Styela clava: one gene and its partner. The protein of the gene in region 1 binds, or shares a complex with, the protein of each later gene. Links are inferred from orthologs where the notes say so. Each region holds a gene or a part of one and is shown on either strand. Other genes may lie near its edges.

What was found. The genes of interacting proteins can lie anywhere in the genome.
Region 2: U5 small nuclear ribonucleoprotein 40 kDa protein-like (region 1) and pre-mRNA-processing-splicing factor 8 share a complex: the UniProt entries of both Homo sapiens proteins name them as parts of the U4/U6-U5 tri-snRNP complex. The link is inferred for Styela clava from reciprocal best matches to the Homo sapiens genes SNRNP40 and PRPF8.

The regions. Positions count from the first base shown.
Region 1 is NC_135250.1:11,930,468-11,937,787, forward strand, and holds the start of U5 small nuclear ribonucleoprotein 40 kDa protein-like, read left to right. Parts: upstream 1-4,254; 5' UTR 4,255-4,269; intron 4,270-7,320. UniProt on the Homo sapiens protein: Required for pre-mRNA splicing as component of the activated spliceosome. Component of the U5 small nuclear ribonucleoprotein (snRNP) complex and the U4/U6-U5 tri-snRNP complex, building blocks of the spliceosome.
Region 2 is NC_135250.1:4,435,424-4,443,130, forward strand, and holds the start of pre-mRNA-processing-splicing factor 8, read left to right. Parts: upstream 1-4,665; 5' UTR 4,666-4,789; coding exon 4,790-4,903; intron 4,904-5,617; coding exon 5,618-5,793; intron 5,794-6,137; coding exon 6,138-6,302; intron 6,303-7,310; coding exon 7,311-7,529; intron 7,530-7,707. Other genes in the region: uncharacterized protein LOC144428064, read left to right, coding at 158-235, 607-792. UniProt on the Homo sapiens protein: Plays a role in pre-mRNA splicing as core component of precatalytic, catalytic and postcatalytic spliceosomal complexes, both of the predominant U2-type spliceosome and the minor U12-type spliceosome.

The sequences.
Region 1 (7,320 bases):
TCATTTCGATTGATCTTATCCCGGTATCGCCTTAAAATTATTTACGAATCGAGATAGTTCCATAATCGCGCTACTGCAAGGGATATGTAGCGTGGTTCGAACATACTTCAATAAGACCCGATTCCGGTATTAAACAGACAAATTCTCAGTGTTCGATGAGCAATTTCTACTTTGAGATATCATAAAGAAAAACAGCATCAACTGCGCACTTTTTGGATGACATCGAATATACGATTTTGCAATGAAATCGGGAACAGTATATTTTGGCAAAAAAATTATTCTGAATTTATCGTTTTCAAATTTTTATAATCAGTAATATTTGTACTTCAATTATTTTTACAATTGTTGGGACCTCACCAATACAGTTAGTGATGTTCTTTTGAATTAAACACCCCAGGTGATGAATTTGCGATGAACTAATCATTTTTTATGTACCTTAATTGTACATTATAAAGATGATTTGTACCTGAGATGTCAGTTAACGGTTAAAATAAATCGTAACCGTTAACCATGTAAAATCGGTTAACCGATTGATCGGTTAACCATTTCCAGCCCTATTATTGAAATAATCGTCGCAAGACAATTTTGCCCCGATATCTCCGGACAAAGCACCCTGCATTAGGTCTGATGTTTTTATTGTAATACTAGCATCGATGACCAATGTGATTTTGTTACAGTATTTTATATCGTATACCGAATATCTTTCGCGTGTGTACTGATATTTCCATTCACATCAACTATTTAATACATTTGTCAAAATATTGAGTGATAAGTGTTAAAGTTGCGTGTAGACAATGGTTTAATATGTTAAAGGTTTATATTATATTGGTTATATTATGTTTTATTGTTATTTTATGTTATATTATGTTTTATTATATTATATTGACCGACCTAATATTGAGTATCTGGTTTTGGAGTATTAATTTTGAACCATTAAAGTCAATAAGATAGGCAGAAATATATAGACCTATTTCGTCGAAGCGATAAACAACAACTAACCAGTGAACACCTGAGTGTCGCTGTCTTACGTCTGCAAGGGAACCGAACGAGACAACACCACATCCTTTCGGGAGACGCAAACTGCAAGTAGCTTCAATCGTTTCCTAATCTAACGGACTAATTTAACAAGCATTAGTTAGGGACAGAACTACTAATCCACAACGTCATCAAAAAACCGACATAACCGGTCCAGATTACCAGTTCTCACGACTCTAAAAATTCTTGGTATTATCATTAATTTCAATAAGAGAAGGATGCAGACATCGCAATTCATTGTATCAACTCCTTCACAGTGGGGAACGCGCACTAATATAACCAGGATTAGGGCCATGATCGGGCCCCAATGCAGTGTAACGCCCGTTGATGAAGTAACAAAAATATTAGTCGCGTCCAGAATGCCATCAAAATTTTCCGTAGTACTAACTGCAATTAACGATGAACCGATAATCATGAACGACAATGAACCTGATAAAGTAACCCGTATGCAGAGTCGGTATTATGCAAATTCAATGAAGGTACAGAGTAGGAAAGACGACAAAATTCCCGGCCAAGACAAATCTGACAAATGAAGCTTGCCAACGAGGGCCCTTGGATAAAATCTGGAAAGAGCCCAGATTTGGTAAAACGCAAATTCGGAATGATATATATTAGTAACAACAAAGATGAATGTTCGGCGAAAATGGCCAAGGTATGCCCTGAAAAAACACCTGAATGGGACCCAGATGAGGCGACGATACAGCTGGTCAATACTGAAAGTATGAGCAAGCTGCCAGAATCTAGAAACAACAGCAAAGCATCTGCCCGAGTGGCTAAAGAGAAAAAAGTCTTCATTGATCAACCTTCTGTGAGAACCAGCCAGCAGAATAGTGAAGAATATGTTAATATCAAAATGGATGAAATCCGAGGAAACGTCCAAATGCAGTTGAAAAGCAAAATCATGATGCGAAACCCAAAATGACGACTGCTGATCACTCGTTTCGGGATATGCCAGAAGCTGGCCGAGATAATGACCGCTCCGAAGCAGATGCACTTCGTATATCCAATGACGTGACAAAATTCATATTGGAGGGAAGTTGTAAAGTTTTGCTGAGGGGTTTACTTTCGAGTAATCGAGTAACACCCCGGATGAACACTGCGATTAGAGGGTGGAGAAGTGCAACTAAGCGAAAAGTGCGGCGTTGACTCGTGTAGAGCGATGTGGCAGTGTACAAAGATATTTATTATTGTTAAAAAATTTGTGTTAGCGTATATTTTGTTGTACGAATAACATATCGGGGCATCCGAGTAAAAGTGCCGTACGCACCGTATGCCTAAGCTAATTGGAATATTTAGAAAAATGATTTCTGTCTAAAGCTCAATTTAATAGCACAAAATACGAATAGGATAATAGAGCAAAATTTTTACAGTCGAAATTGGGTTATTATTATTTTGGCATAGTTGGGAAATATGAACTCTTATTTTGGTAGAGTCATGGAACTAATTTTCTGTGAACAGGGAGTCATTAAATGCTAGCGTGGTCTTGTCCGCGCACTGCATATCAAGAAACTATTCCTATTTTAGCAGTGAGTCTTGAAAACAGGAAATTCTCTGCGAAATGAGGTCACATATGTTGAAAAGTCTATGACTTGTGGTTTTTTAGCAAAACGTCGCATTCGTATATATTGCAAAAAGGTTTTACGTAAATTGGGCACTTATGACTCACAATTAAACCTGGACTGTCGCTTTTGATATTATAAAAAGGGTTTATGTTAATTATTTGTATTATTCACGTAATCTTGATCTCAAAAATTAGAAATGGGATTCTAAGTTAAGTTATATTGTAAGAAAATGTTCGTAATTTATTACTATTATTTTAGTTTAGAATTAGTTACAAAGTTGTTAACGTTAAATGTCTTTGAGTTTTGTATTTTAATTTTTTTTGCCAATTGTAAAGTTTAAATGTCTTTCATTCTGGAAATTGCAACATGATGTAGTGATTGGGAATATTGTTGATCAAATGTTGAATATTCAAATGTTCTCACAAAAAACACATGTTGTTGACTTGTAATTGAACCGCAAACGATTTCTGAAAATGTTCGACATGAAGTTTATCCCACCTGTCAATCAATTCACCCACGTTATGAAATGTAATTATTGTATGAATAGGTCATGTGGGATCAAGCATGTTATAAGACTTTGGAATTTCTCATTGATTTAAACTTAGCGTGTATGTATGTATTTTCATTTTTGTGCTTATATCTGAATTTTTATTAGGGCTTAAGGAATTAATACGCATATATTTATATCGTGTATGTATTTGGTTTATGCACTACTCATTTTTAATCTTTTAGGTAATCTTGCTTACTCGTACGACTAAATGACTTGAAACTTTATTTTATTATTATTTTTGAGTTTAATGTTCAATTTATTTTTGATTAAATTGTTCATTATTGATTAATCGGGCGCATCCGAATGGAGAATGTAAGTCGTAATTTCATGTTTTTATTTTGTTATATTGCATAGTAAAGTTATACCGCATACTGAATGCGATTATTTATTGGGATTGTTCCAACTTGTATTTTAAAACTCATAAAAAAACTATAAAACGGAACAGTTGAAAACTCTTAATATAACCAATACTTTCACCCACCAGACTTAGGAACAAAATCGGGGCCACCATGCAAAAACTAAATTGCTGATGAATGTAACATATATTCCGGTTTCAGTGTATTTGAACAATTTCACCTCGGCGGAGTAATTATCTGTAAGTTATATACATACTTTATAAATGAGTAAATATGACTGAGCAGAGAAAAACACTCGAAAAAAATGGAGGCACCACTGGGATTGATTTGAGGGCAATTGTCACGGCAGATTACATTGTCATGACCAACGCACCATATTAGGTGTTTCTAATGAAAGATTAACTTCGGTATCAAGGGTCCTTGGCGATCTACGGTCGATTGTGGATGGTTAAACATAGAGCTGATGTGTCTATGGAATTATTCAATGAACAATGTGATTTTGTTACAATATTTCATATCGTATGCCAATTATCTTTTGTGTGTGTAATGATATTTTCATGCATAAATATCGAATATTTAGCAAAATATTATGTGAAAAGTAGTGACGATTATGATCACTGATAAATGTATATTTCAGTGATCAAGTTGGTGTTTTGAAATTTCGTGTAGACAACGTTTCAATATGTTAAATGTTTATATTAGTTTGGGTATATTATGTTTTTTTTGTATTAACCGAACTAATATTGGAGTGTTTGGTTGTATTAAGGCTTAGACCATAAAATTAAATAAGATCGGCAGATTCGGGTCGCTCTGAGACTCGAGTTGGTGTGGACGAAGACCTCTGTCGTCGAAACGATAAACAATTTACCGATGAACATCTGAGTGTCGCTGTTGTACGTCTGTAAGATCTGCAAGAGAACCGAACGAGACAGCACCACATCAAGAAAATCGCCGTGGAGAGGCAGCCCTGCGAGAAGACGCAAACTGCAAGTAGCTTTAATCGTTTCCTAATCTAATTGACTAATTTAATCAGCATTAGTAAGGGACAGGACTACTGATTCCCAGCGTCGCCAACAAAACGGCAACACCAGTCCAGAATACCAGCCTTTACGAGAGAAATTTTAAAAGAAGAGCTGAGAATTGCATGCTTGCACGTTAATACTTTTCCAAGACATTTATAGGAGATGGTGCTAAATTGGTTCAAGAAGGGGAGGGCGCGCCTTACAAGGGGGAAGAGAAACTTCGGGAAATAATGAGTCTAATCAAACAGGCCATAGAGAGACACAAGAATGTTAGCGGGACGGAAAAGAAACTCTGCAAAGACTTGATAAGACTTTTTGCCGAAATGCAACGCGAACTATCGAGTGCTAAAAAAAGGAATTGGAACAGGCAAAGAAAGAGGTCAAGAAAGCCGAAATTAATCTCGCAACTGTAGAAAAGGGGGCAAAAAAGACCAGTACGAAAGTTAATGTAGAAGATTTCCAAAAGGTATTCAAGACGAATACCAGGCTGGGAAATTGTACATGGAATCCTTATTGGAGGATTCGGCAAATGCGCAGCCAGCGTACGCAGCGGTTAAAGCAATAGAGCCAACGGCTCCAGTGCCATCGCCGCCCTCTTACAGTGCCACTCCAATCAAGCGATAAATCTCCCTAAATTTGTGGGCAATCCACATCGAGATTCCCGAGGGCCTATCAATGGTCGTGGAGAAGGGATTTGACAGCCAACAGGTTAACGTGGTAAGAAATATATTGTCAAATAGTCATTTTCATCAGTCAGTAATTTATTTCTTCACGATACTCAAAAAAGAAGATATATATATATCCGTAAACCATAACTGGTTGCACAAACGACGTTAGGGATGATTTCAATTATTCCGCGAAAGTAGTTCTTACCGTAGTTGAACAATGGCATAGCCATAGATGTGTTGGCGCAGACGATCACCCTGGTACGTTTTATGTAACATCTCAAAATGCCTTACACGATAAGTCTCCGAATTACTTACATTTTCCATTCAACGAATTTATTTAAATATGTCATTACCAGATGCGCATTGTAAATTTATATCCGTTTTTAATTGCTGAAACTCATAATTTGTTTGCTAAATTATTACAAAGACAATCAACTTTATTAATTAATCAAGGGCTACATTCATTGAAAATACCATCTGACTGCAAAACCCGATGGCTGTACATTCAGGCTGTTGTAGATAGAAATACCAATAATCTCTAGCTCTTCAAAACTATTTTTACTAAATTAGTCCCGCCCACTTAAAAGCTGATCCACTACTCACTTGTACAATCGAAGATTATATAAATTCCAGGCTTATTTATTATCTTATCTCCCGTTATAAACTAGCTGGAACAGAGGCTTCAAAAAAATATTCAACCTTGTAAAGTGGAACAACAACACAGAATCAGGGAAGTTTTGGGCTGAAGGATATGCAAAAAATTCCCTGACTTCATTTTCAGAATACTTTGAGTTCGCTAAGCAAGTGTAGCGTACCGACAGACGATGAAATAATTATCCAAGTTCAAAATATCTTCCAATATGGTCTGACGTCAAGTTTCTTCTCAATATTCACTTCAAGTAATGTTATTTTATTCTATTTATTATTCATCAATCTTAATACAACCAAATACTTCAAACAAAAGACAAGCATACAATAAAGCGACAAGTACCAGGTAGCACAATGCAAGAAAACAGAATATACACAATAAAAACACTTTGAACAGTACTGATGATAGCTAATTCCCTGACAACAATCAAAAATACAACGATAAAATAACTGCAATGGCACTGTACTGGAACAATAATATCAGCCTACTGTCTAGCATAAAAACATCCAACAAATCTCCATCCCGCAGTCACAAAACCACAAACAAAGATCCCTGATAACCCACCTGAGACCAGAGGCACTCCCACCGACACTCATGACCAGAATCCAACCACACTGTACCGGTACCAACCACATCACACCACAGCACAGCACACGCTAACAGCCACACCCAAAAAGAACAGAACCGACAGTGTCACAGCGTGTGTCCTCCCAGTGTCCCCATTGTCAAAATACCAAATAAGACAATAATTTCACATGACAGCATTTAAAACCTTCCCCAACCGATCTGTCTGGTGCCATTTTACATGGGTTATTTTTTGTCAACCATTAGGCCCCCAAAGCTTCACTCATGGCTTTTTATTAGCGTGTGATAGAGCTCTATTCAGCAATATATGTAAAACGCACTCATCTAAAAAAAAATTTTTTTACGCCAAAATTCAAAAATTTCTATTGAACTTGCAAGATTTTGTGTCTAGTAGAAGGTTAATAATTATTCCTAGTTAATTAATTTTTATTTTAACCTTTTTTTGTGTTATTTTTCAACAGAACAGCACCAAAACCACTATTATAGCAAGGATGGTCACTCTAAAATTCACGATTGTATTTACTAAATTTTTAAGTTCAAGGCTTCAATTGACAATTTTGATGACGCCACACCTCTAATTATTAGTGCACACGCCCCCCTCAATGCAAAAAATGTTACTTTTTCCGACGGAAATGCGCGTAGAAAGCCGTAAACATTATAATGTGCGCCGTTACGCGTGAAAATTACCATTAATTTTACGTTTTTTTCGCGTTTGAAAATTCTGGATACCTCTGCCAAGTATGGTGCAGTCAAAATCATATTTATCAAAATATCACAGCGCCAGGGATGATATGTCTGACTGAAAATACATGCTAAACCAATAATAAGTCATTATAAAGGAGTTAATGCTATTGATTTTCTGTCTGAGTCGCGTCAACAATTTTACACATCTG
Region 2 (7,707 bases), about 7.5 Mb from region 1:
ATTCGGTATTGGCCATCCCTGCTTACAACTTTTTTGTCGAGTATGAAAGTCACTGCGCTTGACTACTATTTCACCACTTCAATTTTTTAAAATAAACTTTTATTGCTAAATACCAAACCTAGCTTAATTGTTGTCATTTTATATTTTCTGCTTCTAGTCTGATGAAACATCGGCAGAAATAGAATGGAAAGCAATTGAAGGAGGAACAGAATATAGAGTATACTATCACGAAACGGTAAATTTCTTTATGTTTCTATTTGTCTATGTGCGCGGGCTCAAATTGGAATTCATGAATTGGCGAATGAGACTTCTGAAACGTTGGTTTGTTGGGAGGACCGTAATCTCTTTGATTTGGCATTTCCTACATAAATTTACACCATTCTTAATTAGGAGCAAGATCTTTACATCTTTAGATCAAACGCTTCAACATATGCACTATTGAAAGATTGAATGAGAATTAACCTAGCTTTTTTGCATACATGAAATTTTAATAAGTTTATTGGAAACAAAATGTGCATATGGATCAATTTGCTATAGTCTTGCTGTTGTTGTTTGGGTAATTTTTATTGTTCATATATTTGACACCACTCTATTTTATGTTTCTAGATGATGGCGGATAAGAAAGCTTATGATGGACCAATTCTAGGCTGTGCTGAAGCTGGATCTACCATGTCAGCTACCATAAACAACTTGCAGAAAAACCAGGACTATTCAGTTTGGATTCAAGTTAAAAGAGATGGCCAATTTTTGGCCAATCTGTTAGGGGATAAAATCCCTAAATCCCGCCCATGAATTGTATGAACTTTCTGTCGAAATTGATGTTGTGCATATTAATAAAGTATATTCAAAACTAGAATATTTTGTGCTATCGATTGGGTTTCTACAAGACCAACTACTTTTCCGTTTTCTTTGCTTTTGCTTTTTCTAGAATATTTTTCTTGAAAATTTAAGGCAATAAACATCATATCTAAAAAGTCAAATGTGTAGGCTACATTTCTTGCGCTACCGCTCGAGTGGCAGAATGAGTTTTATCAATTTGTCAACCAAAAAATACAGTCATCAATAAAATAGCAACCGCAATAAAATTGTTTTGTTATGGTCAGGAGGGAGCGATACGATCATACATGGAGGTCAGCATCCACCATATTCTTTGATGTGAATAAAATTCACACAGGAAGATGACTACTAACAAAACATGAACTAGTACAATAGTAATAATACGACAATGTCTTGATTTGGTTATTAAGGAAATACTAACTCAGAAAAAGATTATGCGACTGTCAGGTCGCTTAGTTTTTAAATTTACTCCGCGTGGGTTCGCAGGTTGGAATCCCTTGGAATAATTATGTGCGAAAGGATTTCTCGTCGCCATAGGGTGGTTAAGGTAACCGATTTTTTTGTATTCTCTAAGAGAGAGGGAAAATGAGGTGTTTAGCCAGAAAACAGAAAAACAATCACTGCAACAATAAAAATATACAACTTACCCCGTAATTTAAGAGTTTTGAATCAGATAAGTTAGTTATTATCACGCTTGCTACAGCATTCTTGCATTATATGCATACGGATCCACCGACACAAAAGCATAGAAGAGGGATAAGTAGTTAGTTTCGCAGAAACCAAATCATACCCCCTAAACTAAATGTACATAAAAAGTAATTTTAGTTAGTTTGCAAAGATCAACAATCTGTACATTAGTTTATTTTTATTTGATGCCTCATTGGCTATTATATTCTCCGGAAAAATTTTATATTTATCTTTCTTCCGACATTCAGTACACTACACGATGAACAAGAGAGCTATGCTCAAATATATGGACATAAAATTTTGATGACGTCATAGCGAAAATTTTTTTTAACTTTAACCACTGAAAATTTCAAAGCAATTGGTCCAGTATACGAAGAGAAAAGCGATTTATTCAAAACGTGTTGCTTGAGACAAATAATAACAATAACAACAAAATTTTGAAACGATCGTTATGTCCACTACGTGTCCAAAAGTGAATGAAAATATACCACGTGACCTAACTTTGACACGCGCGAGTGCATTTGCACATTTTATAAAACGTACGTCTTGCGTTTCAGCGTCGGCGTGTTGATTGATTCAGTTTTTACGCGTTTTCATGTTTTACTTCCCCAGAATCTGAGAATAGAACAGTATTATTTCGATGGGAGACAGGCTAGACTAATTGTATTTTTATCCTTTGCGGTAGAAGTTATGGTGACCGTACATTTGAACCCATAAGAATATCCGCGGGTTCAATCTATATGCGTCTGCTAAAACTGTAAAACCCATTGGGATGGTTAGTATGGGTTCAAATATCCAGAATATCCGCAAAAAAAAATCCCTGATGCAATAGTATGCAGGTGCAATTGTCGTGGGTTTAAATGTACGGGTACCAGAAGTTATAAGTAGGCTATATTCAACCGTGTGCAATGTCAGAATGTAGGACAATAGGATGTTAAATTTTCCGATTTTATTTTGGGAAAAACAAGAAAACGTGAACATTCACCTATCCACTGTAGACTACATACAGACATAGGCCATAATTATACGGTATCTTATGAATTTAACAAAGTATCTCATCATAATCTTAAATCACATTAAAAACAGCAATATCAGAATATTGTATTTTGAAATTCAAACTAGCCTACACAGCTACAGGACTACGGTACCCGTACCTAAACTACAAAACAAAATTCGGGTCTGGTATAGTTTAGTAGTCTATCACATGTCTGACTTCTAGTTGGCCTGGCTCCACAATTATTGCATATGCCATTTCTAACCCCCACCTGACTGCGTCATCCAAAAATTACGGGTCTAATATAGTTTAGTACCACAAGTACTTCTGGTTGACCAGACTGGAATCCATGGCAGGTGCACGCCCGAGGGCGCTAGCGCTCCGCGAAAATGCACGCGAGCGAATTCAATTTTGCACGCCGAAAATTTGCAATTGCTCACCAATGTAAATCGGTTTAAATTGTTTTAAAATCAATAATCCAGTAATATAAAGATGCCAAAATAGTATAACTCCACAATTGTCGACTAATACTAGCTTGCAAAATTTGGTCTGATCGAAAAATGCGAAGCAAAAAAGACCATATCGTGTTGAATGATAGGAATCCCGTGAGAATAGTTATGGACGAAAAGATCGCCTCCGCACCAACGCTGGCCAGGTACGGCTCTGATTTAGCGTATTTTTCATACAATAATTTTACACGAATGTACTGAACAGTACCGGTATTTAAAGTCGAACAAACACTCTCAAAATTAGTGACGGAGTATAAAAATACTGTTTGGGGTCAATGGTCAAACGTCCAATTTTGCTCTAATTTGATGTATTTTTATTAATTCTACGTAAAAACACTCCCAAAATTAATGACAAAGTATGTCCATTTTTCTCTGGTTCAACGTATTTTTTATTCAATAATTTTACGCGGATGTACTGAACACTACCGGTATCCAATATCGCACAAACACTCTCAAAATTAGCGACAAACTGTAGAAAAAATGTTTGGGGTTAAAGGTCAAACGTCCATTTTTGCTCTGATTCAACGTATTTTTTATCCGATACCGGACGGTGATGTATCGAGAGGTATCTAATGTCAAAGTCAGTTGCACGCGGGCGCAGTTGTTTTGCACGCCGTGAGCTATAATTGCAGAGCCATTATATAATGGCTCTGATAATTGCACGCCAGGGATTCTTATTTGCACGCAGGAATTTCTGATTGCACGCCCGATTTCTCGTTCAAAAAGGCCATGAAAACCAGACTGGGTAGTCTATCACATGTCTGACTTCTAGTTGGCCTGGCTCCACAATTATTGCATATGCCATTTCTAACCCCCACCTGACCGCGTCATCCAAAAATTACGGGTCTAATATAGTTTAGTACCACAAGTACTTCTGGTTGACGTAGCATAACGAATTTTGCATATGTTCTTCCTAACCCCTACCTGACTATGTCTTCTAAAACTTTATTCCCAACGACGTCACAATCACATCATACAGTCATAGATCTTGCCAAAGTATAGCTACGACTGTACGATCACTCGAAAGGGCATCTGCATCGACGATAACGAACTCACTAACACCCGTGTTCTCTCGCATATCGGGATTGCTGGAGGTCTTTATTACGCCACTGTGGCGTCGTAGTGACGTAACTTTTGGTGACGTAGTCAGGCAGTACAGCACACAATCCAAATTCCAAGAATTACCCTCCATTTGGCTCAATGAAACAAACACTCTATGTGTCTCACAAATGAGGGGCATCTGGGACCACGTCGGATGCTTCATATCGCGCCATGCTTATCTCAATAATAATTAATCGCAGCCGTCACATGACCAAAATTGCCGTTTTTTGCTAAAAACGTTCGAATAAAATTTTTTTCCTTCGGTAAATCGGATTATTTTTTCCCAAGGATAACAATGATGACGTTACTAGATTGTGCTTTTTTGTAGTATTTTGCGCAAATTCATTATACTGTTTTATTATCGATATTGAGGTACAACAATGTCCAGACGTCTCCCAAAGGAGGTGTGTCTGATCATCTGTAAAATGGGATTGAGGATTGACATATGCAAAAATTGTCGATTCAGGTCAACTAGAAGTGCATGTGGTACTAAACTATACCAGACCCTTATGGCCCTTGCTTCCCAGTACTTCTAATAACTTCTACAATTTTTGTATTAGAAAGCTGTAAGTATAAAAGTTTATGGAAACTTGCTCGTAGGTAGCTAGTTTCACTCGGGCTGTCACAAGTTTGTAGAGCGTTGCTCACAACTTGAACCAGCATGGCGTTTCAATATGGAATGCAACCTCCACCAGGTATGCCACCACCTGGTATGCCACCTGGAATATCACAACCTCCCCCTCCTGCTGGTGGACTCAGTGAGGAACGATTACAGGTTGGTTGTGTTTTTACTTGAATTTTTTATGATTTTTACTGAAGGGAATACTTCAGTTATGCAAGATGAAGTTTCATGATCAATATATTGTAACATGACCACTATGACTGAGCATTTTAGCGTATTTGATGATTTCAAAATCGATTCAATTTTTTTTTTTGGAGGTGAATTTTGGATACCTACTTAATACAACGACTGAGGTATAATACAACGACTTAATTGCATGTTATATTTTTATTGTAATGGAAGATATAGAACCCAACACTCGGTCAGTCCTGCAGTCACATACAATAGGGAACATGTTTCATCAATAACTCAATAGGAAGAATAAAGTCATATGTCAGAATTACATTTCGAAAACATGGCTTCAATAAAAAAATTGAGCAATTCACTAAAATAACAAGATGACGGAGTTTCGAAATTTTCGTCTGAACCGATTCGAATAAATTAATATTCGTTTAGACTCGAATATTCAATTCAAAATGCCCATCCCTTATATCCAGGTTGTTATAAGTATTTTGTTGGAACAAAATTTGGAATTGAAAAATCTGTAAAAAAATTATTGATGAGAGTGTAATGAACAGTGCAACCCCAAACAAAGTAGATTCCAATTTATAATAGTTTCTTACCCGGTTATCTGCCTGTGCAAAGCCTTGTTTGTAGCATAAACAATAATATATCATATAAAAAATAATGTCTGTTTATTGGTTCTAGGAAAAAGCTAGAAAATGGCAACAATTGCAATCAAAACGTTACGCAGAGAAAAGAAAGTTTGGATTTGTCGACCCACAAAAGGAAGACATGCCACCAGAACATGTCAGGAAAATTGTGAAGGATCATGGAGATATGACAAACAGGAAATTTCGCCATGATAAAAGAGTTTATTTGGGGTAAAAATATTTGTTTTTATACTGATGGTTTTAATATATAAGTTGCCAGTCAGTGTTAATTGAAAGTGAATGTTTCTTTCTTTATTTTTCAATTTTTCGTCTTGTAATTATAAAATTCAATTTATGTTTGTTGCACTGGAATGTACTCGATACCTGATATGTAAAAATACTTTGTTTTGAAAATTACGGTATTTAAAATACTGCATTCTTTAATTTTTGCCATCTCTGATTCAGAATATAACTTTTTGATGGTTCCAGCGTATTATATTCTCATAGTCTGAAGAATTCAGTTTCTTATTAAATAACTTATACATTTTCTGATAATTTTTTTCTTATCAATCCAGGGCTCTGAAGTACATGCCTCATGCTGTTCTAAAACTACTTGAGAACATGCCAATGCCTTGGGAACAGATTCGGGATGTTTCCGTCATTTATCACATCACTGGAGCTATTACTTTTGTCAATGAGATTCCATGGGTCATTGAGCCAGCTTATATCGCTCAATGGGGGTAAGATTGTGATATGAAAATTAAATAAAACAAGTTTGTTTAGTGGAAATTGTTATATTAATACAGAAAAAAAACTTATTTATAAATATGTATAATGAGGAAAATGCATTAGGTATCTGAAATATTAGTTTATTTTAAAATAAGCAATAGATATTTTGTTATTACCAGTATACTTTATGCAGGAGTTATTAAATTAGTAATTGTTGTCAATATTAGCGTTGTACTGTGCCTCCCTCCAAAAGAAAAAAAAACGGAACCCAGCTGATAGGGAACATATTCTCGAGAGGCCGTAACTTTTTTGAAAAGCTTTCCAGATTACTAAAACTTTTGGGTACAATCATACTCCGAACTTAGGTGCTGAATAAATATTCTTCATTCTCGTAGGATTTGTTAAAAAAAATTATGAGTTCTATTTTTTGGGCCAATCTATATGTGTGTGAAAATTACTGATGCGTGATGCCTAAATAATTACTTGATTATTATTTTTTTCATTGAAACCAATTCTTTTTACCAGTAATAATAAGTGTGATCAGCTGTGTAGTTATCGGTTTCAATAACTTTATGGATTGAAACATTTGGATTGCCTCAATGTTAAATGTATTTTAGACTTTAGACAGTTTGAATGAAGTAAGCTTATCAAGCAAGCAAAATAAGTGGTGCTTTGCTCGAATATAAACATTTTTCAAGCTTCATATAAATTTTGCATTTAGACTGGTCATAGTAATAAAAAATATTGTCGGGTTACACTGCGGTTCCCAAACTTTTTGTTCGTGTGGCGGCAACTTATCAGGGAAAAAACTCACGGCGCACTCACATGTGAAAAAAGAAAGTGCTTTAAAATAAAACTCAATTTTGTGATCGTCAATATTCAATCATATTTTAGTTATGTTTGATATAATTCTTTTAATTTTTGCAGTGCACTAGGCAACTTGTGCACCTATTGGGAACCACTGTGGTAACACATAATCAGTGTATTATACCGTCTAACTATTTTTCTGTATCTTCTAGTTCAATGTGGATTATGATGCGTCGCGAAAAACGTGATCGTCGTCATTTCAAGAGGATGAGATTTCCTCCTTTTGATGATGAGGAACCTCCTCTTGATTACGCAGATAACGTGCTGGATGTTGATCCTCTTGAAGCTATCCAGCTTGAACTGGATCCGGAAGAAGATTCCTCTGTTTCTGAGTGGTTTTATGATAATAAACCATTGCAGGATGAACCCAAGTAAGGATATTTATATAGTAGAATTTCTTTACCTAAAACTGAAGTATTTTTTCCATTTTAGGGATGTCTGTATACGAATATCTTGATACTCTGAAATTCAGTCTTACAATCAAATTTTATGAGGGAAATCATGATAATTAAATCGACAATGATAATGATACCACGAAAAATGACCAGT